Linked DNA regions of Oreochromis niloticus. Each later gene encodes a partner of the first gene's protein in a complex. Links are inferred from orthologs where the notes say so. Each region holds a gene or a part of one and is shown in the gene's direction. Other genes may lie near its edges. The genes, in order: cacna1c, cacnb2a, cacnb1 and voltage-dependent L-type calcium channel subunit beta-3.

What was found.
Region 2: cacna1c (region 1) and cacnb2a share a complex: the UniProt entries of both Homo sapiens proteins name them as parts of the calcium channel complex. The link is inferred for Oreochromis niloticus from reciprocal best matches to the Homo sapiens genes CACNA1C and CACNB2.
Region 3: cacna1c (region 1) and cacnb1 share a complex: the UniProt entries of both Homo sapiens proteins name them as parts of the calcium channel complex. The link is inferred for Oreochromis niloticus from reciprocal best matches to the Homo sapiens genes CACNA1C and CACNB1.
Region 4: cacna1c (region 1) and voltage-dependent L-type calcium channel subunit beta-3 share a complex: the UniProt entries of both Homo sapiens proteins name them as parts of the calcium channel complex. The link is inferred for Oreochromis niloticus from reciprocal best matches to the Homo sapiens genes CACNA1C and CACNB3.

What each region holds. Positions count from the first base shown.
Region 1 is NC_031981.2:10,681,977-10,689,691, forward strand, and holds the start of cacna1c (voltage-dependent L-type calcium channel subunit alpha-1C), read left to right. Parts: upstream 1-4,696; 5' UTR 4,697-7,370; coding exon 7,371-7,494; intron 7,495-7,715. Other genes in the region: dcp1b (mRNA-decapping enzyme 1B), read right to left, coding at 1,673-1,750, 1,935-2,147, 2,275-2,501, 2,867-2,917, 3,074-3,809, 3,971-4,069, 4,340-4,487, 4,605-4,671. UniProt on the Homo sapiens protein: Pore-forming, alpha-1C subunit of the voltage-gated calcium channel that gives rise to L-type calcium currents. Mediates influx of calcium ions into the cytoplasm, and thereby triggers calcium release from the sarcoplasm.
Region 2 is NC_031974.2:16,013,878-16,020,974, forward strand, and holds the start of cacnb2a (voltage-dependent L-type calcium channel subunit beta-2a), read left to right. Parts: upstream 1-4,088; 5' UTR 4,089-4,464; coding exon 4,465-4,548; intron 4,549-6,074; coding exon 6,075-6,167; intron 6,168-7,097. UniProt on the Homo sapiens protein: Beta subunit of voltage-dependent calcium channels which contributes to the function of the calcium channel by increasing peak calcium current. Plays a role in shifting voltage dependencies of activation and inactivation of the channel.
Region 3 is NC_031969.2:27,484,041-27,492,004, forward strand, and holds the start of cacnb1 (voltage-dependent L-type calcium channel subunit beta-1), read left to right. Parts: upstream 1-4,947; 5' UTR 4,948-5,133; coding exon 5,134-5,223; intron 5,224-7,964. UniProt on the Homo sapiens protein: Regulatory subunit of L-type calcium channels. Regulates the activity of L-type calcium channels that contain CACNA1A as pore-forming subunit.
Region 4 is NC_031984.2:12,750,881-12,758,313, forward strand, and holds the start of voltage-dependent L-type calcium channel subunit beta-3, read left to right. Parts: upstream 1-4,418; 5' UTR 4,419-4,705; coding exon 4,706-4,786; intron 4,787-5,641; coding exon 5,642-5,734; intron 5,735-7,433. UniProt on the Homo sapiens protein: Regulatory subunit of the voltage-gated calcium channel that gives rise to L-type calcium currents. Increases CACNA1B peak calcium current and shifts the voltage dependencies of channel activation and inactivation.

The sequences.
Region 1 (7,715 bases):
ACAACAAAAAAAAAAAACGACACAGTTTTTTTTTTTTTTTTTAACATTTAATAGCCAATAAAAATATATTCCAGTTTATGTAATGGGAAAACATCCCTGCCAAAAAGAAAAAAAAGCCCATAGAAACATTTTAATATTCTGGTTACAGAAACAGTACAGATGACTTTTGAATTAAAACAGCATCTGACAATATGCTGTGAAATCTTAAACTTTACATTCTGATATACTTTTAAATACATGCTGGTTATTTGTACAATTTTCTTCTTGAGTAAAAAAATAGGGAATAAAATCTTCCTCTTTTTTTTTCCTGAATGATATTCTCTGCTTTTGCTGCTGCTGATGTTTCTGCCTGGTAGCTACTGTCCAGGCTGGCTATGGGTTTAGCACACACGCTAATCACCAACTAAAAACCCTGACTCTGGAAAAACGTAAGCAATTTAAGTGCTGAATGAGGAACGACTGAATGAGAAATATCACTTTACGTGGCAAATGTAATATAACAGTATTGTGCAAATGCAATAAAACCTTTTAAATTTTATGTTCACTCTCCACCAGGGTTTACAACAAGCCTGAACAAGTAACAATGTTGCTGTTGATGATTTAATTAACCAAATTTTCTAAGCTTCAGATTATTAAATCATATTATTAGACCACTCTAGGCTTCATTTGTTTAGAACCATTTATCAGCTTAGGTGATATTTAATTTTCTGAAATCTCTTTACATAAAGCGAACAAAAATTCCTTACTATATGACATAAATCAATCACCTTTATGCCACTTCATTTAAAACACAGGTATACCTCCAAACAAGTTCTCTGTGAGGTAGTGCAGGTTGTCAGGTTCCTGTAATTTTCTTGTCTTTTTAAGGTGGACTGACATTGACGTTTTCCTTCTTCAAACATATTATAATATTCAAAAAGTGCTGCAAAAGAAAAACCTTTTCTCTCCTTCACAATTTCAGCGATTGCCGGATAGAGTTATGCCGCAGGCTCGCTCGTCCACTTCAATATGCACCAGCTGACAACAGTTAGTTAACCAAAATTACAATGTAGACACTTATCACTGCTCGTGTCTGTTAAAAAGGATAGAAATAAAAATCAACACAACAATGTAATAACAGATTTAAAAAACCTGCTGGTGGTAAAATACACAAACCTGTTATGCCCAAGTAAAATAATAAGAGATTAAAATAATATCTGAAGATGTCTTTTAGCTCTAGACTAGGAAGACTTGTTTGTTAAAGGCTGGCTGGTGCGAGACAACTGACTGAAAGGAAATATTGCTACACTTACTGGAAAAGAAAGAGTATTAGAAACATCCTGGAAAACTGAAGGTTTGCAGCATGTTTTGTTTTTGCTGAGACTCAAAGGGTGAGGTCAAGGGTAAAATCTGTAATCTACAGACTAAACCAAATTATTTTGAACATTGTAAAAGTTGTTTTCCTTTGCTACTATTGAAAAATACAGGTGTTACTTGTGATAGCTTTGTGCAACAAAAGACTTGGCTTGAAGCGAACAGAGTCAGGCTTCCTAACGATAGTGCAGAGGAGGTACAGAGTGTGTGTTTAAGTACGTGTCTATGTGATTTGGAGGAGGAAGTGGTGCATCCATATGAGGTGTAAGAAAGAGCCTCTGGGAAGGGTGCGTGAGTAGAACGAGGGTGTGAAGCTGCATCAATACTTGTTGCTGGAGTCCTTAGCAAAGCGGCTCGTATAGGCTTCATAGATGGAGTCCAGGAATGAGCTGTCGGTCTGAAACACACAAGCAGGCAACTTCATACTAAATCCTCAAGTGTGTGTGTGTTTGTTTTTGCTTATTCTCTGTTTTTCTCTCTGCAAACAAAACTGCACAGATTTGGCTACAACGTGAGCACAACAACTGGACAGCGAGCATTGTGAAGCCATAATAGACCACAAACTTTAAAGGAATAATCACCTGTATCAGATGCAGCAGTGTGGCTTGAAGCTGAGTTCTGGAAAGGATTCTGACTTCCTCCTGCAGAGGAGGTCTGGGCACAGTTGAGGGTGGGTGGGAGCTCTCCTGACCAACTGCAGACAACCCACTGCTAGGCTTTGTCTGAGTGAACATACTCGGGGAAAGGAGCAGAGTCGGGGCAACAGTGGCTGGTATCCTCTGAGGGGAGATCACCTGCACAGACAGGGAGCACTTATAGTACTGTTGCAGCTATCATGTCACCAATTTAACTAGTATTTGCCATTTGCTCTGTTTATATAGTTGATAAAATCAACTACTAACTGTTTACACTGGGCTTTACCTGTAACTGCAACGCAGCTTTCTGACCTGCAGTGGCTGCAGTTGGGTTTGGGATTGTGCCTAAAGTCACGCATGCACCCTGGTTTTGGGCTGGCCCCAGGAATCGAGGAGCCAGTCCTGGACAGATCCGAGGTGGCTCACTAGAGGTCAGGCTCTGCTCCTGCTGGACCAACTGGAGCTTTTGGAGGAGCTCATGAGGTGACACCATACCTGGCACGTGAGACAATCCTGACGAGAAAGCACGAAGGTACCAAAAACAAGAATTACTTTTAATGAGCAGCTAAACAGGTTGGTGAGTGTACTCTAGGGTAAATCATTTCCAAAAGTGTGAATTTATGCACACTGTGCATGCGTGCACATGTATGAGCTCCAGTCCTGTGGGAAACACAGCAATGGAACTACAGATAATGTGTCTTGTAACTGGGAAAAAATGTGTTCCTTTGCAGTTTCTTAATTTAACTACTGTTTATATGTAGTTTCAAATTATTGGAAAAACTCGTCAGAGCTTCAGTAACAATCGGCTTAAGTTTGTGCTCACCACTAAAACCCTGCTAGTTAGCGACTGCAAACAATAAAAAACTTGAATACTATACCTTGTGAAGGTTGAATGACTTGATCACTGGTCACCTGAGATGGCAACAAACCTGGTAAAGCAAGAAGAATCCCATTAACATTATAGAAAAGTTATTCTTCCCATAGTTTATTAGCATTGTAATTATAAAAATGTGTATGTAGCACACTGATTCAGTACAAGGTTAGCTTGTTTGTTTGTGAACACTTAACACAAAAGATTTCCCCACCTGTTCCCTGTGCAGCTGGAGCCGTCTGGCTGTTCTGCTGAATTTCAGGTTGAGAATTGGACAGGCTGAAAAACAGCTGCTGGCTTTGTTGTGCTTGAAGGTGAGAGCGTGACACAGAATCCACCATTACAGGCTGGGAGGAGAGATGAGGGTTCTGCTGTAGAGAGGAAGGGTTGGAGTAACAATTAGGGGCTGCAGAGGAGAAAGAGGTGGTGGGTAGAGGAGGTGGTTGGGTTTGGAAAAGTCTCTTGATTGGATCAGGATGAAGCTGATGCTGGTGATGGTGGTGTTGTTGCTGATGGTGGTAAAGATGATGGTGGTGGTGATGCTCCAGCGGCACCCCGTTGTCACAGAGTCGGTTCTCGGGGGACTCGGACACAGTCTGAAGCACCCCTCCCACAGTCCCGACACCTCTCTGTCCCTGCATGAGCTTTGCGATGGCCGGGCAGTGCTGCTGCTGCTGGTGAGCGTTTGAGGGACTCTGCAACAAGCCAGAAACAACATTGGCTCCATCTTCCACAGCCTTGATTCCTCCATCAGAGGCCACATTTCTGCCAGAGTTCACTGCATCATCGTAGGTGAGTGTGCGAGCTACAGGCGGGCGAGATACTTTTCCCGCTGATGATCCCAGTGCTGGAGCATTCGCAAGAGGGACAGAGTCAGGTTTAGTTGAACGTTGCTGAGAGCCAAACAGAGTAGCCAAAGAAAGAGACTTGGGCTGAGCACCTTCATTGTCCTGGATGAGAGAAGCACAGTAGAGTAAGAAAGATGATGAGTTAGAAGCACAAACAGAAAAAACTAGCAGGGTTTTATACACAACAATGGAAGAAAACCATTACAAACTCTCTTTTATACACGAAAAATGTGATTTTAACAGGGTTAAACTGGATGTTCTACCTGAGTGTTTGGTTTAACGGGTATTGGTTTAATCAGGTGGGGGTTTCCATAAAGAACACTGCTGCCACCAATCTCCTTTGGCTCTGAGGTTGACTTTTCCTAAGAGAGGTGCACAGAAAGAATAGACAAAGGAGAGACAATTAACAAAATAAGTAAATAAATACATAAAAACTATTTCACATAAATTGCCAAAAAGTAGATTACTATAAGTGATTAATTGAGGATCCTAGAAAATACTCCCCGCATCCTATAGGTCTAAATGAACAAATGTAAATGCAAAGATATATTAGGGCCTAGCTATTCCCAGCATTTTAATCTGTGTTGTTCTAATTGTTTTATTCTCTTCAAAATCCTACAGTGTGCACATACCTTATCATACTCTGTGCGGGCTTTGGTTAACATCTGGATGATGTCCACTCCCTTTGCTTCACCTTTTCCCCCTCCCCCTACTCTTACTTCTCCTGGGGATAACCAACCACCCTGGGACTGAGCCAGGACCTGCTCCTGCTGGGTCAGACTGCACACATGAACAAAAGAGTCTTCTGTCAAGCTTTGGCAGCTGGTCCATAACTCATTAGTCATTTTTAAGCAAACCAAATCTTGTTTTGAAGATCATCCAATTACAGTTACTTACATCTTCATCCTCTGGGCGATGCGCTGACAGTCCTCCTTATCATAGAACCAAATCCCATGGATTGCCACTGGGGAAGAAGAACAGGGGGTTTGAGATGCAGCAAGAGACAGAATTGAACTTTTGAGGACATTACATTAACAAAAATCCAGCAAATTATTTGCAATAATGACCCTGTCAATGTTGAAAATCTAGTTAGCTTGGTGTAATAATGCAACTGTCTGCTCAGTCCAGGTCAGCAGACAACAAAATGAGTTTCCCAGACAATTGAATGAATGTGTAGCCATGCTGTAGCACAATTTTGCTGCAATGACATCAGTGCGGACCTAACAGATAGATAAACTGTTTATTATTAGCCCTGGTGGGTATAACCCCAGGGTTTAAAATGAGTCATTTCCCAGCCAAGCCAATGGGAACAGAAGCCAGCGATGCAATTATACAATGAAACATGGGCCCCAGGAGTGCCCTGATCTACGTAAACACGGTCAGCAAGGGAGGAAAAAGACACTTGCCCAGTTTTGTAGATGGGATGAACTACTTTACAAAGTGATTAATTTTACTGTTTGCATTTGTGCTCTCTTTTGAAAGATTAATCGTTGTTGCATAACCACTCAATTGCAGCCACTAAGGAAGGGCTTAGAATTTTGCATGGAAAAAATAAAGTTCCCGTGATGTTCTAAAGAAGCCCAGACCCTGAAATCGTTGAACTTTTTCCTTTATCAACCTGGATGTTCAACCTGCATGACAAGTTTATCAAATGAGAAGACATGTGAGTGGAGGGCTCTAGCAATACTCATGGTGCTACTCTGCCCAAGACAGAAACAAATTTGCTGCAGTTTGTGGATGTCGGGGAAAGATCCCAATCCCCAAAAAGAAAAGAGGCAAAGAGTAAAAGATATGAGAGTAAATTAAGGACAGAGAAAAACTTATAAATAACACAAAGATTTTAAAGTGGGGGGAAAAAAGAGCAATCAGTGGGGTCTATACCATGACTAGGTTTTTATGTAATCCAATTGAATACAAGACACATTCCCACACACACAGACATGAACAAAAATACACATCCACTTGGCTACAAATGGGGCTGGGTAAGGCATCGAGGTCAAAGTGGATGAGGAGAACAGACAGAGAGGGAGAGGCTGAGACACATACGTACACAGAGAGTTCAGTTGAGCCTGGGAAAATAAGCCCAGGACCAAATAAGTAACTGCAGTGGGAGGCTGACTGGTGGAGCCAGAGCCACTTAGTGCTCAGTGTGCTCATAGGGGATGAGACTATTCGACAGAGACGGAGAGAGACACGGTGAAAGTCTGACAGCTGGAAAATGGAGGAAAAATGAGCAAGATGAATGGAAAGAAGTGAAGTGTGTTACAGGGGAGCTCGTTAAGCACATCAAAATAGAAACATGTCAGTGAATACTAAAAAGAACTTGTGACGTTTCAGACATTAGACACTCCATTTGGCCAGCATGTTGCTCTCTCTCAGTCTCACAGAAAGGGAGAAGAAGATAAGATAAAAGATGTGCATGTGCTTTTAAAATAGAAGACTTCCACAGCTCCAGCAGGACCTGTAGAAACTATATCAACAAGATAGGAAAGAGAAAAAAAACGAGTGAGGGCGATAGAGTGATACAGAGAGAGAGCGAGAGCGAGAGAGCCGAAAAGTGGTTGTGGCCATAAGGTTACAAATTCGAGAGGGAGAAAGAGAGAGCTCCACTCGACACTGGAAATTGAAAGAGAAAGACAGAGGGATTTTTGAAATGTATGCCTCGAGCAAAGTACCAAAGCAACTCGACTGGGAACTCCACTGAACGGCCACGTGGGACGACAACTTCAGCAGGACTACAACTTAAGCTTGAGACTGATATCAGGAAGAGTGGCAGCTTCAAAAACCACCACAGACACAGGCTGTCTGTTACGGTTTGAACAAAATATATTGGAAACCCAGCAAAGCCTGTAAGTGATTCACAACTGAACCTGTGTGGTCTTTGAAACCCTCTGCGCCTACGATGTAGCAGCCCATCAGAAAGCACCAGCCTTTAGAAACACTTCAACGGGACACTTAAAAAAAAAAAAAAGTCTTGTGTTTTATGTTTGACAAACAACGCTTAAAGTTGACATTTCAGTTACTCTGTTACTGTGAGACTGTTTACCTTTAGTAGAGTCATAAATTCAGACAAATTTACAAGCAGAAGTGATGACCAAGATAAATTTGGTACACTTTCACTGCAGTATGAGATCACCTTTGTGAAGAAAGTTCATAGTATCAGTCATGAGGAAGAGTAATAACATCCTTTTCGCCAGCGTTTAGTTTCCTGGAGGTTTTTCAGGAATTACGTGCTCCTGAAGTAAAGCAAACTGATGCTGTTGCATGAGAGGACATTTCGGGGAAAACTGAAGGAGGAGGAGTAAATATTGACATTCACAGCTAGTAAAGTCTCGTATACCACTTCTGTTACACCTTCCTCTTGAGACTTAACTGCAAGGATGTTCAAATTGCTCTTCTGCATCTGAAACCCAGTTCTCAAAATAAAGAACTACCAGAACTACTGGGAAACCTGTATGTGTACAACCTGATATTTACAGAGCGCCATCAGTAGATCTGTGGTCCTAAAGAAGAAAAAGGAAGGGGAGCATCGCGTTTGGCATCTTTTGGCCAGATAAGTAATTACTGGCACTGCTTTTTAATATCAGTTCTGAGCAACTTTTAAGTTGTGGAGAGACAGAAAGAGGAAACATCATCACCGGACTGTGAGAATACTGAGAGATCATGCTGAGAGGCCTGTTTGAGAGGAAACCTAAACATGAGAGGCTGCAGGAGGAACCTGAAGTCAGATTTAGAGGATTGCTGGTGACAGAGAGTGTCCTGGGATATCGATACATCCCACCTGGAGGTAAGAATCTCGACATAGCCATTGATGTACTTCTAATATATATGACATACCAGACATACCAGTGGATTACATACCAGAAGTTCAGACCCATATCAGTGTTAAATCTAAGTGCTGATATTAGGGCTGGAAATGACAGATTAGGATGATGCTCATGACCTTTTACCATCACAATACATCGACTTGTAATACACTAGAAGTCCACGTTGCATGAAAGCATCTGT
Region 2 (7,097 bases), on another chromosome or scaffold:
ACATCCATGATGCAAATCTCCCCTTTCACTGCATCTTAAAAGTGTTCCACTGAACTGAGATTTGGTGACCATGCAGGACAATAGAGTGCAGAGAACTAATAATCAAGTTCAATAAACCAGTTTTAGATGATCTGAGATTTGTGACATGGCACATCATTTTGACTCATCAGTAAGGCAATTATTTCTATTCTTCTGTTGTCCAGTTTTGCTGAGGCCATGTGAATTGTGGCATGTTCTTAGCCGGTGTGTTCTTTTGTTGCTTCACCCCATTTCCTTCAAGGTTCTTCAGAGATGTCATTCAGAGATCCTCCTCTGCATACCTTGCTTGATTGATTTAATGTCGCCTTACTATCAGCACACAGCAGTCTGGCCATTCTCCTGTGACCTCTGACATCAACAAGGCCTTTTCACCCAGAGAACTCCAGCTCACTGGATATTTTCACTTTGTTAGATCACTATTTGTAATCCCTAGAGGTGGTTGTGTGGGAATATCCCAGTAAATCAGCATTTCTGAAATACTCAGACCAGCCTGTCTAGCACCAACAACCATACCACATTCAAAGTAACGTAAGTCTGAAAGGTGTACCTTTCAAAGTGTCCAGTGTGTGTTGTTAGTGTAAGTCAGTATTACCTTACTTACTAGGATTCTATTATTTTTCCTCGTTTTTGTGGTCATTTGATAAATAAAAGTTCATTTCAAGCCTGAAAACAGACGAAAGATACATTTAATACAAACCTGGTGATTTTCCTTTGGTATGCATGAAATTTTGTAATCTGAAAGTTTGTTGCTTTCTTTTCTCAAAATAAACTTAGCCCAAAAAGTATGGAATTCTTTGTTTGGTCAGTTATTTCCTTATTGTAACAATGCTTCTTGGTAATAAATCTCATAGTGTTTGAAAGCCTGTTTATTTCCCCTTAAATGATGCCGCATTTGTAAGGAGACAAAGGAGTTTGCAAAGAAAAGCGTCTGGACTTCTTTGAGTTGCTTTCAACTCAAAGAAGTCCAGACGCTTTTCTTTGCAAACTCCTTTGACTACGATGACCTGGATGACTGAGAACCTTCACAGACATTTGTAAGGAGAATTCATTTGTGGGTTGCGCCCATGAGAAACTTGCCAAATCTTCTCTACAAATGCCAAAAACCTTCTTGTGTGATTGCTATCTGCTATATCTTATTCTGAGCTTCTTGTACCCCATGTGCTGCCAATCATGACTGACTGGTGTCTGATTAGCAGCACCTTTGAGGATGGACCCTGCTACAGTGGTCGATTGGTGTCTGCTCCAAGCATGCCACGGTTGACTAATGTGGATAGGGCCTGTGCCACAGGGCAACTTCAAGCTGGTGTTCTGCAAAACCAAGTTGCAGCATTTTTTTTGAATGCGCTCAGTACCATCTCCAAATAGAAGAGCATATTCCACATAAGAGGGGATTTGTGAGACAGGCCACTACATGGGTGTCCCAAGAAGACAACACCACCCTGTCAGGATTTAGGAACTGTAAATAGTCTTCTACAGCTTTGAAATCAAAGTTTCCAGTACAATATGGCTGACGGCTCTCTACCCAGAAAATCTGGAACATACCATAAAATGGAATCCCATATCTCCACAGTCTGGGACTGAACTCTATCCTCCAAGATGACACTCACCCCCACAGAGCAGGATTTATCAGAGACTATCACCAAAATTTGGGAATGGAGAGGAAGGAATGGCCTGCCTGCAGTCCTGACCTCAACCCCACTGAAGAATCAGACGCCATCCCATACCGGTGTGCGACCAAGCCGATGACCAGCATGAGGAGGAGGTGCCAAGCTGTTGTGGCTGTGTATGGTTCTTTCACATTGCACTGTCCCTGTTTGTTAACTGGATGAACTGTTAAATGGCCAATATGTCTCGTTCCTTCAGACTTTAATCATCCAATCCAATAAACAACACCAAACAAGACTCAATATTAGAATAAGCTTTTTTTTTTCATGGTGCAACCTCCATACTCAACCCAGCTGCTCAACCCACAAATGCATTTTTCTTACAAATGTGGCATCGTGGAAGGGGAAATAAACAGGCTTTCCAACAGTATAAGATTTATTGCCAGGAAGCATTGTTACAACAAAGAAATAATCGACCAAACAAAGATTTTCTTACTGCCAAGTGCCAAGTTTATTTTAGAAACAATATATTCGCATTTTAGACTACTGGCTGAACAAGTATGTCATCAAATATGAAACTGAGAGGTATTTTTTAATTTAATTAATTAATTTATTGTATTTACAATGACATATTTATAAAAAAGAGCTCATTCAATAATGAAATAGTCAACAGGTGCAGCACCTTTTTTTTTTTTTTCATCCGCCAGCTATGCTGCCTGTACTTAACTGCCAATACGAATTATTCAGCTGTCAGCTTTTGGCTCACTGCTCCAATTTTCAGGTTTCCTGCACCAAATGATAACATGATGATATATATATGTTTTTAGGATATCCCAGTTTAACTGGATAACTCCATTTCTTTATTACATGAGAAGCAAATATGGAAAAAAAAAATTTCAGAGAAGTATATTTAACATTTTCTTGGTGCAGGGGTATGTCCAGTATCCATCTGGATACTGAGTTAAGCATGTGGCAGCTTTGACTGCCTCCTATAAATGAGAGTCAGCTGGACTATGCTGTGTTGTTGGAGCCTCTTAATGTAATTATTTGACAAACAGGCCTGTTGTAGCAACAATTGTCCAACTAGTTTATTATTAGCATTAATTAGCATGTGTGTGCATTTAAACCAAACCAGTCAGTCTATGAACTGCTAATCAAGATTCTAAGTAACTAGTACTCCACCCTCTTGTCCACATATGACATGATTTTTGCTGCATCCATTTTTTTATATACAGCCTATGTGGTGGCACCATACTCCTTTCACCCAGTGCTATTAGCATAGAAAGAAAAAATGAATACAGCTTTTTGGTCAGAAAAAATGAAGCCAACGCAAAGTGCCTTAAACCTGCATTCTATGTGAAGGCCACCAGATGGCGATAGTTGTGGTTGCAAAAAGACATTCAGTCCTTTAGTATAAGTCTGTGGGAAAACGGCTCTTGACCTGTGAAACACTTTCCTCATGAGTTTATGGTCTCAGTCACTCATTTTGGATCATATTGAATTGAAAAAAAAAAAAGTAAAATCTTGGTTGTACTTCAAAATGGAAGACTGTGGTATGAAGCCACAGGCTCACTGGCTAACGACTACTTAATCTCAGCTTGGTAGCCCATGAGCCCTCTGTTTCAGTCACATTTGCCTCTCCTCATTACATCTGGTGCTATGCTTATTATTTAGATAAAGGGAACTAGCTCTAAAAAAGTAATTTAATCTAACTACAGCTGCAACAATCAAGTAATGCACATAATAACGAATCAGTCTTTGTGATCCAATTTTTTTACTCTTCTTTGTATTAACCTCATTTTTATTTTCTTTGTTTTGTTTTTTATCACTGTTAAAATTTCTGTTAAAACTTCGCACTCTCACAGTATTAGACCCTCACTATGCACCTGTGGCACTTTTACTTTAACAATGTGGTTTATTTCTTTTAGACTGTACTATTTTTACTCTTTATCGTGCTGCTGCAATACAATAATTTAAATTGAATAAATTAATATCTTTAATAATCATAATCTTTAATAAATTAAGGATGATTGAAGTATCTATCATGTATATGATTCTGAAGTGAGCCATTAGAAATGAATAATTTTTACTTTAAATACTTGTACTGAGACATTAATCATATTTTACTATATGTATTTGGGCTGCATGTATGGGTTTTTTTGTTTGTTTGTTTGTTTTTGTATTCATTTCTGATAAAATAGTCTTATTTCCTCTGTTTTCCCTCTCTTTGTCCTCCCCACCACCACCACCACCTCCACCACCCTGTGGCACCTCTACTTTGGTGCCAATACCTGTGAGCGGCCACATCAGGTTTATATTACAATAAAAACATCATTTTGTTGATTTAAACACCTCCCAGTAGCTATGACCTGATTTCTCTCACTTGTTCAGTTCTGATCATCAAAGTTACTCTGAATTGACGCTTTTCAGTCGTGTTCATGCCGACTTTGTGTTTGGATGCTGCTATTCATTTCCATCCCTTTGCGCTGTGAGGAGGCAGAGAGGTGTTGGCGTTGGTTGAGGGCTCACGGAGCAGGAGAGCTCTCTCAGCTAGTGTAGGAAGGAGCGAACTGATGAGGGGGCTTTGTGATGCTGAAGGCTATAATATCCGACGACTCACATCATCACTATCATCTTGAACTCGCGAAAAACTACAGCCATTTTTCGCACAAGCTCCTCCTTTAACTCGACTCAAACTTGAAGAGCAGCATTAAACTCTTCAACACTACTGTGTAAAAATGCGCTTTTGTCTCGGGCAGAGTTGGAGCATCTGTACAACCCGAGAGGTTTTACCGACTATCCGCGTTTCTCAAATGGTGTGATGGTCGTCAACATTAGCCCAACCAACAGAGCAGGAACACCTCCGGACAAACACATGGACGCTCTGGAACATCCCATGTTACAAGTGAGTTAATTCATTTTAATTAAAGCTGACAGTTCCTGTTAAACTGCCACTTTAAACCTTGGCACTGCACGCTGAGAGACGTCAAACAGCTCACCTGCTCTCAACCTGTCCGCTTCCTTTGCGCGTGCTGGTGAGCGCAGGTGGCCTCATTAAAGTTTTGATTGAGGTTCGTAAGTCGCGAGGGCGAATCTTTATTTTTTATTAACTTGTTTTTTGTTTGTTTTGTTTAGGTTTTTTTTTTTTAACTTATTTGTGGGTCAGGTTTGATATTTGGATATTCACTTTCAAGGACTGAAAATAGTTTGACATGTCTTATTAGTTTAATATCACGACGTTTTGAAGTAAGCTAGCCTGGATGCTCGTCAAATTAACTCGTACTTCCGGAAGTATTTCAATTGTAAAGCCAGTGGTAGTAATTACATATTTACGAGTGTAATGCAAAAAGTACTCTGTTCGAAGTACTGCTGTAAAAACGAAAGTAACTAAGTACTAGGTGCTTAGCATGTATGGGTGTTTTGGCTGTTTTAGTGGCAGGTAAGCGGCATTTAAGTTTAAAGCTAGTGTAAAGTCTCAAAGAAAAACATAGTAATTTCAGTATCAACAACATTGTAATGTCTAAAACATCTTATAAAGGCTTTTGTCTATTCCTGCAGGTAAAATAATGAAAACTGGATAATGTATTGTATTGCTCTGTGGAGTACAGTGCATTTATTCAACACCTATAGTGATATTTCTGTTTGGTCCTAGGGTATTTGTATGAGGGTATGGACTGAGGGGGACAAAAAAAGGCAGATTTGAAATTATTTTCTTGCATTTCGTGCATTACTTTTCCAGGATGTCACTTTTGAAAAATAAGCCGTCTACCTCTGTGATTACCTTCATCTCCTGAAACACGTCATAACATTACACCTTAAGTGAAAACACTCAATCTGTAATAAGTAAGAAACAGTGGAAATCAGTGCTTGGCTGATACTGGCTATAATACTGGCTAAATGCCATTGGTTTGAAGTCTTATTGCAGAATATTAGGACCTTATATTTGAGTTAGTCTTTTTGGTATAAAAAATTATTTTATGTTGGAAATGACTCACCAACTCCACTCAACTAGGCAGTGAAATTCATCAGTGAAGACGGAGGCTGTAATGTTGGAAGCAGAACTGGTCACTCAGATAACTTTAAATTGCTCTATTTGCTTTCATAATCACTGATAATCTTTGTCAGACACAACCTTCTTGAGATACCACCCTGTACTTGGAGAGGCAAATGCTTTATCTGACATTTCATAGAGAAAACATATTGATAATGAAATTGATCTAACCACAGTTGTTGCATTTGTTGGTAAACATTAATGACTTATTATGAGTCTCATATTATTTTCTGCTGAATGCATTTTTGCACATGAACTTAAATCTGTTACAGGGAAAATGTATTAGTTTGCATGCTCTTGTGTATATTGTTTTAAGATTTAAGATTTTAAGATTCCTCATAAACAGTTTTATCCTGTCTTTTTTTGGGGGGGCTCTGAAGTCTCAAAGCAAAGGAGCTCGGAGAAAAGGTCGTTTTAAAGGCTCAGATGGAAGCACCTCGTCCGACACCACAACCAACAGCCTTGTTCGCCAGGTAAGGGTGGTGATTTGAATTTTTGTTGATCTCGCCTATCGGTGTCTTATTTTTGTCATCTCTAAACTATCTGTTGGTGCCTAAAGCCCTAGACCAAAATAGGTACAACAAAGATGTATCTGACCACGATAAAAGAGTACCATGAAGTATAATTCAAGTTTCTGGCTGCAGTTACTTCCCGTTGGAATCTAACACTTGTGTGTTTGTATAAATGCCTGACAGTAAATGCAAACTGGTGTAAGGGCTCAGGCTCAGTCATCATCATCCATCAGCAGTAAGATGTGCATTGCGATGAAAGCCCTCTGTAAACACTGCTGGGTACAGTATGTTAAATGGAAGCCTCTCATCTGACATGCATCTTCTGTGCACAGAGTGCAGAGCGACACTGTGGCCTGTTATAAAGCAGACCCTGTGAGGTACACACTCAGCGAGTCTGGTCTTTGTTGAGCAGACCTGCAAAGGGACAGAATGGGCTGAGTTAAGGATGAACACTCCTGCTTAAATGTTTCTGCCTTTTTTGGAGGAGGCACAGATCGCCTCGTCTTTGGCACGGCAGCAGCAGAGCGACGGGAAGCTGGAGGAGGTCAGATCAAAATTGCACCTCCTAGGCTGCTGTCTACTTCATCTCACAGCCACAGAGAAGTTCTCAATGAGGCGCTGCAGCTCAACTGAAGCTGCTCAGGGAGAAATTCCCTGATTTTTTATTTTCCCACCACCCTTGGGAGCTAATGTCCATTCCCACAGTCTTCTCCCCAAATGAGGAGTTCCCCTTCAGTCAGAGTCATCAGTTGGCTGTGCTGCGAATGACTGTCAGTCTGCATCATCATGTTAGGGAAATGAGAGGGTATTTGAGTGAGAGACAGAAAAGAGATGGTGCGGAGCAAAGGAATGATGTTTTTTGGGAGTCAGAGAGTCTCTTTCATGCAGAGC
Region 3 (7,964 bases), on another chromosome or scaffold:
AATTTAAACTCCTATCTGTGAGATTTCTTTCATATTGTTCATGAAATTGTCACTCACATAAAAGGACACAAAAACACAGCAGGCAGAAACCAAAGAGCCAAGAAAATTACCATGTATTGAATTAAAATGTCATGGCTGCACATTCATTAGAGTGTTGATCCTTGTGGAAAAGTAAATGGATACTAGAGCTGACTACCTTGAGCTACCTTGGGCAGCAGTAGAAAGATAAAAAAAAAAAAAACACGAGAGGCTAGCCTGAAAGTCCTGCTCTCCTGCTGCACATTATGTTCTTCTTGGAGGAGTATGTCAGCCAGTTGCTGCAGGAGAGTTAAAGGGACTGTTCAGAGACATGACTACCATAACTTCAAAAGTAAAATGTGATCCTTTTTTGCTTCTTCCTCCCATGCAAAACTGAGCTCAGCGGAAGTATGAGCTGCAGCCGCAGAGGATGATCTTGTGGGTGTTCAGTCCAATGGCATCAACTGGAATCAGGACGTCACACTGATTTCCCCCCAGAAGGGCTTTATCAAAGACTGCTGCAGGTGTGGGGTTCATTTTCCTTTGTGACTGGTTGATACGAGAGGAGGAGGTGGATGAATCATCCCTTTGTTTATTCAGATTTACACGGATATCATCAATGCTCTGTGAACTCAGTGTTTATTGCATTTCCGTGACTGTCGTCATCTAAAACTCATCAACACCCAAACCTAACGATAATTTTGGGAACCGGCTGCTCATTTCGATTTCAGCCATGCACTTGAGGTGGGAATAATTCGCTATAACAGTTAGCCGTATAAACATCTGAAAATGCCACACTGAATAATGTGCAGGAATCAAATACCAAATGGACCCTCAGAGACTTGCACTTGCACTTGAATTGAATTTTTACAACCTTTTAAGGTGTTTCAGCTCCTTTTTTAGGGGATACTCTTTGACTATACAATCTCCATGAAGTATCACAGAAATGTGGAAGTTTGCATCAATAGATGTGAGTTAAAACTGCATGATGAACTTCAGCAAACAGCTAAAAAGGAGAAAAACCAGAGCAGTAAGACTTTCTGGTGAGTTTTGACGTCAGTCAAAGGTTCAGCAGAAAACAAACACATGCACTCTCAGTGGGGATAGGTGAAAAAAAAGGTTCACAGTTCTTATCTTTTATTATTCTGAGCTGATTCACAAAAGCCACTAAAGAGTTTTAGAGTAGTAGCACAGGGTGAACAAATAGATTAAAAATAAAGGCATCTTTCAGGATTTCAGATATTTGATTTCCAGTTAACTTAGCATATCTTCATCGTGGCTCCATCAAAAAAGTATTGGCAGAAGAAGTGAACATTCTTATTGTAAGACTTCATGAAGATGTAAAAATTCTAAAGGAAGACCAGTAGCTAATTTTTTTTAAATGGTCCATTCAGGAACTATAAAATAAGCCATAGTGCCTTTATAGCCACACTAACTGTCCTCTTAAAATGATGTCCCCAACAATGCACTGCTTAAACAACAAGTCCTGAAAAACAGATGCTTTATTTCTTTAGATTTGGCACAGAGACTATCAGACAGCATGAAAAAAAAACATTTTGAGATTAAACTTTTCTAAAGATCTTGAATATTATGAATATATTTTTTGGTCAGATTCAGTATACGAGACCTTTATTGTCAGTGTGGAAGCAACGTCACATGATGTATAGGAACAGAAGTGTTGGACCACACCGCTTAATCTTTCAATTAGAGCAAAGCAAAGTGGATATTTTTAGGGACCACAGCAACTCAGACACAAAGTGGGAGATCAAATAAAGTTAGTGGCTCCCTAACCCCTCTGGTGCATAGTGTGCAAAAGTGGCCAACCATCTGCTGACAGAGTTCCAAATGTCCTCTGTCTTTAACATCAGCAGAAAAACTGTGCACCATGTGCTTCATGGCATGGGTGTCCATGGCTAAGTAGCTTCTGGTGCACAGTTTTTGTCATAAACCTGTAAAATTGAACATAAGAATATTGCACATCAGGACCGTACATGAAGTACAGTTTAGTGGTGTCGCAGCTGTTGTGAAGAATTTGAGTTTCAATCTGTTTGTGGATGCTTTTATAGCACTAAAGCACCTGCCTGCTGCAAGGAACTTGAACAAATGGTGTCCAGCATGTGTCGTGTCTTTGTGAAGTTGCTCGGCACTCTTCAAGCAGCGAGTGATGCAGAGATGTTCCAGAGATGGCTGGCAACAATGTTTTGTGCTGTTTTCAAAACACACTGGAGTGCCTTTTTGTCAGCTTTGGTGCTGCTACCCTACCAGGCTGTCATGCAGCTTGTGATCGCAGTCTGTAAAATTTGGCAAGCAATTATGGGGGAAAGTTGGCTCTCTTTGACTTTTTTAATAAATAAAGGTGTCGTCATCCCAGGAAAGGTGCTCAGTGATGTGAACCCCCCAGAAACCAGAAGTGGAGGGCTCTTTTCAGGTCTCTGTATTGATGTATAGAGGTGTCTGTGGTTTTCTTTGTAGTCTTTGTTTGGTGGCATAATTGGTGTGTTCGTGTCCATGATTTCCTCAGTAAATGCATGCTAATAATTCTTTATTACTGAGGTGGGAGTACTATATAATAACGTTTTTATTTTGAATATATCAAAATACTAGCTGACAAGAGAGTAGCAGAAGCGGAATATTCCAGCATCCAAAGCACACTGCCAAAAAAAGAATTTCTAAAAGAGAAGAAACTAAGAACTGTGACCTGCTGCCTGAGTCGAGGTCAGCAGAACACTTTTGCAGCATTTTAAAGAGAAAGACAAACCAGCAAAGAGGGTTTTAAAAAATGTTTGAACAGTGGAACAGCAACAGTTCTTCATAGATCTGCACTGTCCTGCATGTCAAAGACAATTTAATCTGTCATCAAAAGCAAAGGCAGAACAGGATGCAAATTAATGAAAAAAATAAAAGATTTAAGTAATTAAAGTTGTACTGTTACACTGAGTTCCTACTGTGGAGCCTGCACTTATTACAGTAAATCTAGTTAAATCAAATCAAATCAAATCATGAGACTGCAAAAGTTTCCCCTCAACTCATGTGTCATGCTTCTGTTACTGGCTTCCATCTAATGTCTGTCCAACAGATACATTTAATATCGGGGCCTTAGGCTAAATAACGCCATCAAAAAGTCAAATCTGAGCAATTGATAAGTGGCAAAAACTTTGCTTTCACTTTCGGTCTAAAACAATGTGCCTTAATAAACCAGGTGCAAGCTACCTGCTCAGCATCAAATGACAAGTCGGGAAATAGCTAGCTGAAGAGCTGGTTAAGGCATGGATGTTTTTAAGTTAGAGGACAGCAAAGATAAAAGGTATTGTTTACTGGATGTGTACTCATGGGATGGTTTGCCTATGCATCTGCCCACAAGTGATGATTTGCATTTAGCTGTCCACTCATTTATGTCTTTTCTGTTGGTGTTACAACTCCAAGGGACAAAAAAATGATGTTTAGTTTGATGATCTTGAAAGCTTTAAGTTAATTATTTATAACTTTTTTTACTAGATACATTAAAACTGTGAGATGATAGTGATTCATTTTTTAAAATATGTCTGTCTTTATTTAGCTAGGTAATGCAAAATTTGGGCACATCAGACAGTCTTACCTGCTCCTGGATCAGCATTATATCCCAAAGTTTATTTACTTATTTATTTTTACCCAAGGCCACATCAACATCATTCTCCTCTTCTTCAAATCATAGAGACGTCAGGCATTGAGCCTCCCTGCTGCTACAACAAACTAGCTGTCAAATTGAACTATTCTCACCCCCCATTATAGCCCCGCGGGACCTTTGATTCCTGGATCCCGGTGCGGGGACCAGTGGCTCAGCTTGACAGCCTATCCACACCCACAGCATCCATCGCTGCGGCTCGCTTCTCTCCATCAATCCATAAATGAGGGTGGGGTCTGTTCAGTGGGGCGTGGATCTCGGCTTCCAGCTGGAGTCTGTTGAGTTGAGCGCACACAAGGAAAAGAATCGACGTCAAGACAGAAAGAGAAACACATAAAACCCGAGAGTAGTTAGAAGACGCTGCTTTCAAAATAAAAGCCTGCCTGCGCTAGGTCGACTGATTTTATAGCCATTAGTTTCTACTGTCTTTCACAAATATAAATTTAACAAAACTGCTACCATCTATTAGTTTTAGCCTAACACTCAACTAGTGAAACCCAGTGTTTTGCATTGTTTACACAGTGCAAACAATGAAAAACAATATTGTATATATAACTTGATGTTGATAGGTAAGTTGTTTTAAGTCTCGGGGAACAGTTCTTCATCTGTTTCAGGACTCATTGTTCTTTTTTCAGCTGAGTGTAATTCCTTATGGCCAGTGTTGGGGTTATTGCTCCAAAAATGTGACATATTACATGTTAATTACATACTCTAAAAAAAAAAAAGCCCAAGTAACACACTACACCGAACATGGCTTATGACTGGTTGTATGTTTGGGCCTATTGTCCTACTGCAGAGTAAACCCAGGACCAATCAGGTGCCTGGAGTCAAAAGTCCAGCAACACTTTGCATTACTGATGCCTTTTAGCATTTTGCTAACCCTGAAGGAACACAGGGGTCAAAGTTCAAAGGATCAGATGTCCCTGAAGAAACCCTTAGGTACCCTGCTGTATGTTCAGGCTGTTGGTGGGCTGTTTGCAAAAGTTGGTTCTGCCAGAGGTCTCTTACTGTGAAAAGGGAGTTCTGTCTCCCCACCACTGCCAAATGTATTTCTCTCTAATATTCTAGAATCTTTACCTTATTATACATAACAAACGCAGTTTTGAACATGTGCTATACGGAATAAACATCTAAAACTTTCAAACAGGTAAACATAATAATACTTGTAGTGATGCTTCTTACCTATTCAAAGAATTTTGTTTTGAAAGCAGGATAACCGGATGTATCTGTACGTCACACCCATAACTTGACTCTTGTGTAAAAGCCTGGTGCGACAGTGTGTAACGCTATAGGCTGGAAGGAGGCAGCTGTTGCCATTATATTATCAACCAGCTTAGACGCATCAGCGGCTTCATTCTCTCCGAAGGAAAAAAAAATAAAAGATGAGTCGATCGACACCATCGTAAACACACTAAACTAGAAACTGAAAATAGATTTTTAAAAAGTTGAATCAAATGGTACAGAAAAGTAGTATGTCCAGGACGCCTTCGACCTCAACCCAGGAGATCCAAATGGACATGTTCGACCATCACCCACACACACAGGTAAGACCAAGAAACGGGAAGAGGGTAAAGCGTAAATATTATGGAAGTATTATGTTAAAAATCCCATGTTGACTATTTTGAATTGATGCTCTATATGGTGCTGGTGAACATTAAAGCTGCTGCACTTCTGAAGATTAACAGGTTGTTTCCAATTAAGTCGCTTAATTTGCCTTCGGGGTGCCGAGATGCTCGTGTACGCTGCACTGATGAATTTAGTCAAATTAATGATTTTAAGAAGAAGTGAAATGGATGAAATATACTAGTTTTTCTTCACTACGGATTTTGATTTATAGCTACATCCTTGTTCTGTGTTTAATTTTTGCTGGCGTTAATAAGTCTGTGCTATGTAACCGTGATGTGACGCTTGTTTATATGCCGTCTGACCAGCGGGTTCCCAGGAAAACCACGCCTTTGTTTAATTGATGTCTAATTATCGAGTAACATGTTGAATTGACCAGCTTCCTTGGGGGGGGGGGATTTAATAATTTCCATAAATGAAAGAGCGACTTGAGTTTTTCATAGGTGGAGTTGGTTTATGTTGTTGACATTTTTTCCCATTTTGTAACCCCCCCCCCCCCCCCACACACACACACACACCCCACAAACAAATAAACAAACAAACAAACAAAAAACATCAAATAAAATAATAATAATAACTCATTTATAGCCTTTATCTCCCCATGGTGTCACCTGTTTTACAGCCACAAATACACAGTGGCTCTTAGGAAGTGACATGACGTTGTGGGCATGTTTAGACATAAATGGATGACCAAAAAAAGATGAGAATATCTAGAACAAACACACCCACGCTGGGCTCAGTCATTATCTCTCTGGAGAAGGGGAAAAAAACAGAACACCTCACCATCACAGACAACCAGCGCTTCAAACCCTGCCAAGTCCCGCTCTCTCCTCTTTACTCCCACTTCTCCCCCTCAGCTCTCCATCCACTTTGAATGTGCCACTATGCCCATCCTGCTCTCGCCTTCTCACCTCATGTGAGATGTCTGTTTTTAGAAATCAGATCTTTATCTGCTGAGAGGCTGTGGTGAGAAGCAGATGGGCACGGTGCTTGTGCCAGGCAGATTAGATGTAAAGTTCATGTTGACCTGCAGCGGGATATGCTGTTATATGCACTTGTGTTTCTGCTGTAGAGAGAGAAGAAGAAAAAAAAACACATTTCTAATATCCTGCAGGAAATGGCCAGAGTTCTCTCACCAGCCACTTCTTTAACACAGAAGAAGAAATGAACTGTGTGCCAAGAAATTATCCAGTTTCTGAACCTGAGGGCAGCTTAGATTAAAGATTGTGTGTGCTGACCGCTGTCACATTGCAGATCAGTTGGGCTCTCTGAGCACAATATTGTATAGAGGGTTCTGGTTAAAAGAATGAAATATGTTTATGATACCTTTCAGTGTGCCACCCTCCACCCTTTATACTCCCTGCCTTCCTGCTTTCACAAACAGCACCCTCCTTAATTATACACTTAATCTGGGAGGATGTTTACCAGCAGGAAGCTTCCCATCCCACTTCCTCTGGCATTTCTCTGCTCTTTAGTGACAGGAATCAGGTCCATCATGGCTCCAATCATAGAGATCCCTCTAAAAACATGCATGCTAATGCATGTATGCACCTGATATCACACATGCTGTGAGATGTGATCAAATTTACCAGCTTAATTGCTGACATATTTGGTGGCACAGGAGCTTCTCCAGCATAACAAACAATGGGATCGGGCTGTGAGGCTACTTTTGGGTTCAATATTAACTTTATTGTCCCCAATGAGAAATTGATTTGTGGCATGTCCACTCATCAAACAATGCATACATTGTATTATTAGAAAAAAAAGAAGCTGGACCGGTAAAATCTTACCGGTCTGGTCCTATTGAAAGACAGATTACCGTACCAAGGAATGATACAAAACATTAGAACGGATTCTATAAAACTTTATTTAAAAAAGGGGTCAACAACATTAAAAACATTAAAAACTCTGAATTTCCTTAAAAAGTACAGCTGTTTTTGTTGTAGCAGCAAAATGTGACTCAAAGGACAGAACATTACCAATAAAAACACATAACCATGACAGTATATTTGCACACAGGTCAAGAACCATGGATTTTGTCTTCCATCACTAGGAAAAGGAAGAGTGTTTAGCTCGTTTCAGTGGATATGCGGCTGCTGTTATAAGACAGATGTGAAACTGAGACTGTCCAACCAAAATATACATCTTACTACTGCCTGGATATCAAAGCACAGTCACCTCTTAATGTTAGATGATAACTCACACAAAATCAAGAGGATTTATTAAACTACCCATTATACATTTGAGTGGATTGGCGGTTAGGTATACTGGATGCATATGCTATTTGAAATGCTGTCTGCAATATAGTTCTTCATGACCCCGATTAAGGCCACAAGCTGACATGCTAAGGTATTAAAGTTGTTCCTCATCACACAATTATTTCTGCCGCTTCAGCCTCTTTAGGCGATGAGCCTTCTCCATGCACCTTGGAAGTAGATGAAGTTGTGCCAGAAATTTCCTTTGTGTTTTCACTATGTGGGATTTGCCAGTTGGACGCTCTAAGACTAACAGCCAAGCAAACGGTTGATGTGAGCAGCACCGAGATTAAATGTTATCAGCTGATGCACAGAGACTGCGGGCTGCAGAGATGTGGCAGAGCAGGAGCAAGACCCATGCATGGAACAGAGGGGGCATTAATGGAAATACCGATAAAGTCAGATAA
Region 4 (7,433 bases), on another chromosome or scaffold:
ACTGTCCTAAAGAGACAACACGTGAAATGAATTATGCTAAATAACAAAAAGAAATGAAGTCCAAATTTTTAAAAGACCACTACATGTTAGTTGGGTTTTTTGTGGTAAAACTGATTAGTTATAAAATCATCAGAGACTTTGTGGTACAACTTGAGTCCATGTCAGAATTTATTATGTTTAATATTGCACTTTAAATTTTTATCGCATGGAACATATTTCTGTCATTTTAACCAAATTAACACAAGCATATTGACACACTGAGTTGTTATGTCAGCATAACGAAAGCCGTAATCATCCTGGCCTCTTATAGCTCAATCTGGTCAATAAAAGCCATTCAAAGTTAGCCTGTAGTTTTTAAAGCGTTTAAATAATTCAAGTCAAAGCTTGGTGTTGTTACCACTATGTTATTGTTTAGATTTAGCTTTAGGATCTTTGGTTTTCTGAGTTTGAACAGCAAACTGCCAGCTGTCCGAGTTAAAAAGGACTGCTGTTCGGGAAAACTAAGATAAATATAATAAATAATTAATGAAATTATCTTGAATGTGGAATCTGGAATTACTAATGGAGCCCTGTTTCAATTCTTCAAACCTGGCCAACAAACCAGTAGTTTATTCCTAGTGTGATAAAATAGACAGCATATTGGTCAAACTGCCTGCTATTTATAATGTTAAGAGATAAACATCCACAGTTGTTAAGGAGGTAGCAACAGTGGAGGAGAAATCACAGGAGAGGCTCATGTGAACAAATAAAAAATCAAATCAAATAAAAGTAAAGAAAATAATCAGTCATTGATGATTTGACTATTTATTTAGTTTGCTGTAGCACATCTCATGGCAAGCTTTTGGTGCTTTTACCATGGGCACCATCACTGCACCAGAGCCATATTGATGGGAAAGGGGCAACTGGAGTCTTTGTAGGACAGGCTTTGGGTGAAAACTGAAGCAAATAGTGGGGGTGGGGGTGTGTGGTGATGTGATGTGATGATCTCTGTAGGTTTTGCTAAATGGATCACCTCTATTACTTTTACTGGGTAATTTTTGGAATAAGAAAAGTCTTATTCATATTTAGGTCCACATTTAACAACAGGAAGAGAAACTGGATCCAGCATGCAGCTAAAAAAAGCCATCAGGCAGACAAAACAGCTACAGGATGGTAACTAATTTGAATAAAATCTGACTATATCACAAATGAAAACACCACGGATGTGTCACTGTTTGGGTGTTTCTGACTTTACTGAATTTACAAAAAGGTTAAAAATGGCCTGTAACTCAACTAGCTATAGAGCTGTAATGGGCTGTAAAAAAAGAAAAGAAAAAAAAAGGCCAGTGCAGCCAAACAGGATGACTTTGTAATGCAGACAAGGCGAGTGTGCATGGTTTCTGTAGTTTTCACTGTATTTACTCTAGGGAGCGTGGTGGAGAATGAAAAGGAAGTCATCAAGAATGGTGTCGTGTTATGAAAGTGGTTGTTTATCCAAGCCGGAGGTTTGAATCACGATCACTTACAACACTTTCTTACTGACAAATTCATTTCCCATTTCCTGTTATACCACACCAAAGTAAGGTGGTTAAAGTAAGGAGTGTCTTGTAGTTACTGTAGAGACGTTTGTTTTGTTTTTGTTAAAACAGCAGACTGACCAAATGTGGAAAAACTGACAGATTTTGCTAAAACTAAACTTTTTTTTTTCTTAAGACAGGTCAGGCTATTCATCATCTACTGTGGTTCAGTTTTCAGAATGTACATGCCCTTGTAAGGGTAAAATTTCAGTTTGTTTTCGTTGGTTATTATGAAATTGTTTCACTGTAAGTTGCTGCCGCAGTTTGCTGTTGAGAGGTCTCACTGCTCCAGTTTCTTTTTACACTTTATCTATGAATGCATCGGGAGTAATTTTAGACTAAAGATTTAAAGGTGTAATGGCAAAAATCATACTTTGACACTCAGTCCAATGGAAATCAATTTGTTATTTCAACCTTCAATTTTATGTTCCACCCTTTCCCTTCTAAGATACCATAAAATATTGATTATCCTGGGATATCATAGCACTTAATTTCTCACTTACCCTTTCAACTGTATATTTTCACTTTTATTTCTAATTATGGTTGATAGGAAATGTGTAGTTTATGTGTAGCATTAGCTTTAGGCAGAGTGTTTTCTCCCCAGAGGGGAAACTCTGGAGGTGTCTTGTTCATGGCCTGTACATGTCAAAAGCGTAAAACTGTAAATCACTACCAAAGAACAAGTTGTGCAGATTTTTGTAGAATATGAAAATGGTGGAAAGTGATTCTCAAAATACTAAATTTTCTTATATACATGTTTCTCAATTATTTGAGTTGAACAAGAAATGTGCAGCTCAAAAAGCACTTCTGCATGGAAACCCTAAAGACTGCTCGACAAAACAGCAACATTAATAACAAATAACAATAAATAAGAGTTTTAATTGTTTTGGGGACAAAAGGGAGTGATGAGAGTGCTTGTTTTAACACACAACCCACAGTGCAACCAAACCCAGTGTCATCAGGTATTTCAGGTCTTTCAACATCAGACACCAGTACCCAGGCAACCTAGCCATGGGTGATCAGTCTCCAGCTTGTGTCTGGGTGGCTTAAGTCATCTGCAGGTCTCCCCTTTTGGTCCACTGCCATCTTGATGTCTTCTCAGGAGCACTAACCCTTTATTGACCGGCCCTTCAAATTTACCTGTAAAATGGGCCCGCCGGTGGGCCCATGGTCAATAAATTAATGATGTTCAGTCCCTTGATCCTGAGCAACTTCATGGGCTAGTTACTAGTACATTGAGGTACAATGGGTCTTCCATGCCTTGCTTCACCTGTAAGCTACTTGGCAAGGAGCCTCTTCCATCTGGTCTTCTCAGGGAATGGTCAACTCTAGCAGGACCACCAACTGCCTCAGTGAGTCTGATATTAGCACCATATCAGGCCTGAGGTTGGTCAGGGCTATGGTGTCTCCCCAGGTCAACTTTCTGCCAGTCCCAGGTTGCTGCAAGAAGACCCACTGCTGGGTCCATGTGCTGTCGTGACTTCTCTCTAGCACTGACAAAAGCAATAGAGCACTTTTGATTTGCATCGTGTACACAGACCTTGCCGTTGCACACCAACCATACTGCTGGAGCAAGTTTTTCCACCACCCCTGCTCTGATCTCTTACTTGCCCAACTGGCTGCTTCCCTTCCCCTTTTTCATATTGAGGTCTTGAGGTACTGCCAAGACCTGCCTGACCTACTGAAACTACAGCCCAGGTCTTTTGTCTGATCAGCAGAATACTATCCTATGACAAAAGTAACCCTCAGGTTTTGGGGGGTGGGGGGGTTGGCAGTTAGAAACCTCACACTGAACACATCTCAGCATTTGTAATGTGCACTGCATTGTTGCACACAGACAGGCCTACTCTTTGTACTACAGATAGATTGCCAGGATTTGTAACCTTATTAAATCAATCGAATAATGTGCAATTTCACCAATATGTCTTTTACTGTCATAACAAAGAGATATTATTATCTTAACTATCTAACCTAAAGTCACGCAGCCTCACTCTTGAGTGTGGTATAGAAGGGTTTAAAAGAAGAAAGCTGTAAAAGTGACCTTTATTAAAAAATTCTTCCTCAGATTAAATTTATGACAAAACTCTCATTACTAGACATTACTTGCACCACAGTGCTTCCTGGTGCAAATTGCAATGCAAAGTCTAGCCTCAGTTTTTACACTTTGCAAAGGTGTGTTGTGTTGTGTTTTGTTGTGTTTAGTTGTGCCTAGTGCCGACGTGGGACAGTTTCCAATTTCGTTGTACTATTGTACTAGATATGACTGTGCAATGACAATAAAGGGTTATCTTATCTTATCTAATCTTAGTCGATCATAGTGGAACATTTAGCAGGCCAGTCCTGGCTTGCACCCCTGCACTAATCTAAAGCTAGTGATTTCAGATGGATTAATTTTGAAACGAGCTTAACTAGGTTTCATATAATCTAAGTTCACACTACGTAATCTATTAGACTGCTGAGTATCAGTGATTAATAGCTCCTAAATGACCTATAATGTATTTATAAATTATTATCAGTCACATAAAGCACTATAAATGATGCCTCGTGAGGAAGTACCACTTTTACTGAGGCAAAGGTGATCAAAGAAAAACAAACCCGTTCAACTAAAATCCACCTCTCCTCTAAAATATGACTTCAAAGCTGCCCTCTTTGAAGGTTCCACATTTATTTGACTGCGGTTTCAACTATTTGAATCCTTCTTTGACAAGCAAATATTATGCACAGACGAGAAGGAACACGGCGTTTGTTTGAAGCCAGGCACTTCTAAAAAAAAAAGAAAGAAGCCAAATGTTGACTGTAAGCAGGTCTGAATTGATTTTTGTGTCATTTTAATCAACGCCGACACCCCCGGCAGAGTCGCACACTTAGTACGGACCTGTACGGTTCGCTCGTGCGCTGATGCTTCAGCGTTATCGGTTTATTTTAGCTTCAGTATTTTCCCCCACTCCCTTTACGTTTCTCCGTCACAGACTTTTTTGTTTTTATTCGGGAGTATGAGCTAGCCTTCCCGTCAGCTGAGTTTGGATATTAGTGTCCGTTTTCCCCCCTCCCGCTTGCCGCTTCTTCGCTCTCTTCACTGTATCTGATGCCTCTTGTTTCCTCCAGTAACCCATGTCTATGTGCATCCCGCCTCCCTGCGCTCTCAATATATGGTGCAAGTCAAAATGTCCAAATCGCCCGTAGACCCTCTGTCTGCCGTGGAAACCGGCTCCCAGTCGCACTATTTCCAGGTAAATCCGCTCACTTTACTCCCATTTCTCTCGCTTCTAACTCCATCTTCACCGACAAAAGAGGAAAATGGTTAATTAGTGTGTCAGATGCTACTTGTTGTTCAATCTGAGGCGTCGCGTTTTGGCAGCGAGCTACTTTTTTCCGTTTTCCCTTTTTTTCACCTCCGCCTTTTCTGAAACTGCAGATTGATGCTTGAGCCGGTGAACGGTCATGTATCCTTATATTATGGCTTTTAAACACAGATACACAGTTTAACACCTCCTTGGGTGTCGATGCATTTGCTGTTTTGATCTCAACTCGCAGATCAGGCCTTTGCATTGATGCTTTATTTATTTCAGTGCATTTTCCCCCTCCGTGCTACGCTTCATCCACTCCAGTGCAGGGAAACCAGCACACACCAGTAGCATTATGGGATTTTCGTGCAGGATTTTATTGGTGCAAATGTGCAGGCCGTGACTCTGGACTCACCTGTAGCCTGAATCTGAAAGGCTTTCTCCTCAGTTTGAGGGAGCTCTCTGCATTAATCAAACCACCATGTGAAGCTGTGAAAGGCAGCCCTGAAATATGTGTGATTCTGGCAGTTACAGCTTGCTTTGGTGCAAAGCAGCTATTTTGCACTTAATCACCATACATTTTGGCTTTTGCAGTCCTTAAAAGCCAGCAGTAGATTTATTTTTTGTATGAATAATCTAAATCTGCAAAATAATTAGCAACTAAAGCACTGAAATAAATATAGTCAGCCTTGCTGCCAGTATTACTGCTAGAGAGTTGTTGCATCCCGTTATCTATCGCCATCCATCTACCCATTCCCCTTTTTATCTCTTCACCTGTGTGCATCTCTTTCCTCCTCACAGCTGCCCAGGAAGTTGCCTAAGCGCAAGAGCCGCTTCAAACGCTCAGATGGCAGCACATCCTCCGACACTACGTCTAGCTTCATCAAACGACAGGTAAAAGCTCCTTTTGTGCCTGGATTGTCTCACTGCAGGCCCATTATTGCACACTGATTGTTAGTGGATGGAAAAAGCTGTAGGTTCTGTGGAAAATGTAGGTCATGGTGTGCTCTAAATGTTGGAATAAAGCTATAAGGTGCTTGAAGTTTGTCATCAGAGCCAATGTCTCCGCAGTGTCTGGTTGGCAGTAATGCAACTCTTGCATATTTCTTTTTTTAGGGTATAGGCTGTTGTTGCCGTTGGTGGAGGTGGGGATGGGGTTGTTAAAATACCTGCATGATTCTCTACTTATTTTGTTCATATCAGTGTGACAGTTTCTGCTCTGCATCTTCATCCACAGCGCTTTTTCCTCAGTTGCAGAGGTTGCTTTGCCCAGTAGAGGGTAGCAAAATGCTTGACAGAAAAAATAAGTTCAACCAAAATCCCAACACAGCTCAGTATTTTTTTTAATTAATGTTTTCAGGTCAGACATGTGTGGAAGACTCAGATGGAGATTTAGTGTTATTTAAGAAAGAAGGTATCTGTAATTGGAAACAAAAGGATTCTCCTTGTGATGTTGCTGCATAGCTATTTTGAATGGATTGTAGATATGGGCAAGGGGTGGGAAAAATATTTTCTCAGATGATTATATTGACTTTAAGTGAAAGGCCAAATATTGAACAGCTGAACTGTAACATGAATTATTTTAAACTGTTAATCTGGTAAATGGTGTTTCAGAAACCGAGAAATTTGTTCAAAAAAAAAAGAAAAAATGTACAAATCGTCTTAAATATGAAGTCATTGTAATGTATTGGGTTATTTAGCGTAACAGATCGTCGCCACTCAGCAAAACTATCAAATTTGGCAGATATGAGAAAACCAGATGTTTAGCTTGTATCTGCGATGTGCTGGAGTTAATCATAGAAAAGTGTTTTTGCAAAAAAAATGGTGAGCACCCTCTTTTGAAATCAAATTAAAAAGCTTCTTACAGTAAAGTTGAATATCGTTAAGGTGCTCTGTTGTTCGGTTTTGTGGAACGTCGAGGGTTGTAATCACATGGACCATGTGTTGGCTCTTCCCATGTATTTTCAAGTCAGTTGTGATGTGCAATTTTGGAATTTGGATTTAAGCTGCATTAACAGAAACAAAAAACCCAATTCCAAAAATGTTGGGATGCTTTCTAAAATGTAAATGAAACAGAATGCAATGATTTGCAAAACTCATAAAACCCACATTTATTTGCAATAAACGAAGTGTAACGAAACAATCAAATCAAATGTGTAAAACTGAGAAAATGTAGCATTTTGAGAAAAATACTAGCTTGAAATTGACGACAGCAAGACCTGTCAAAGTTGGGACAGGGCCATGTTTACCACTCAGTAGCATCCCCTCTTCTTTTAACAGTCCGTAAACATCTTGGAACGGAGAAGTCCAGTTGCTGGACCTTTGGGAGGGGAGTGTTGACCCATTTTTGTCTGATAGAGGATCCTAGCTGCTCAACCATCCTGGTTTATCTTTATTGTATTCTTTGGTTCATAATGTGCTAAATGCTTTAAGTTGGTGAAAGGTCTGGACTGCAGCTCAGCACCTGGATTCTTTTACTCGAAGCAATGCTGTTGTAAATCCATGTAGTATGTGGTGTAGCATTGTCTTGCTGAGAGTCTTAAAAATAAATAAATAAATAAATTCAAATTTTGATTTATTACAGCCAAACAGT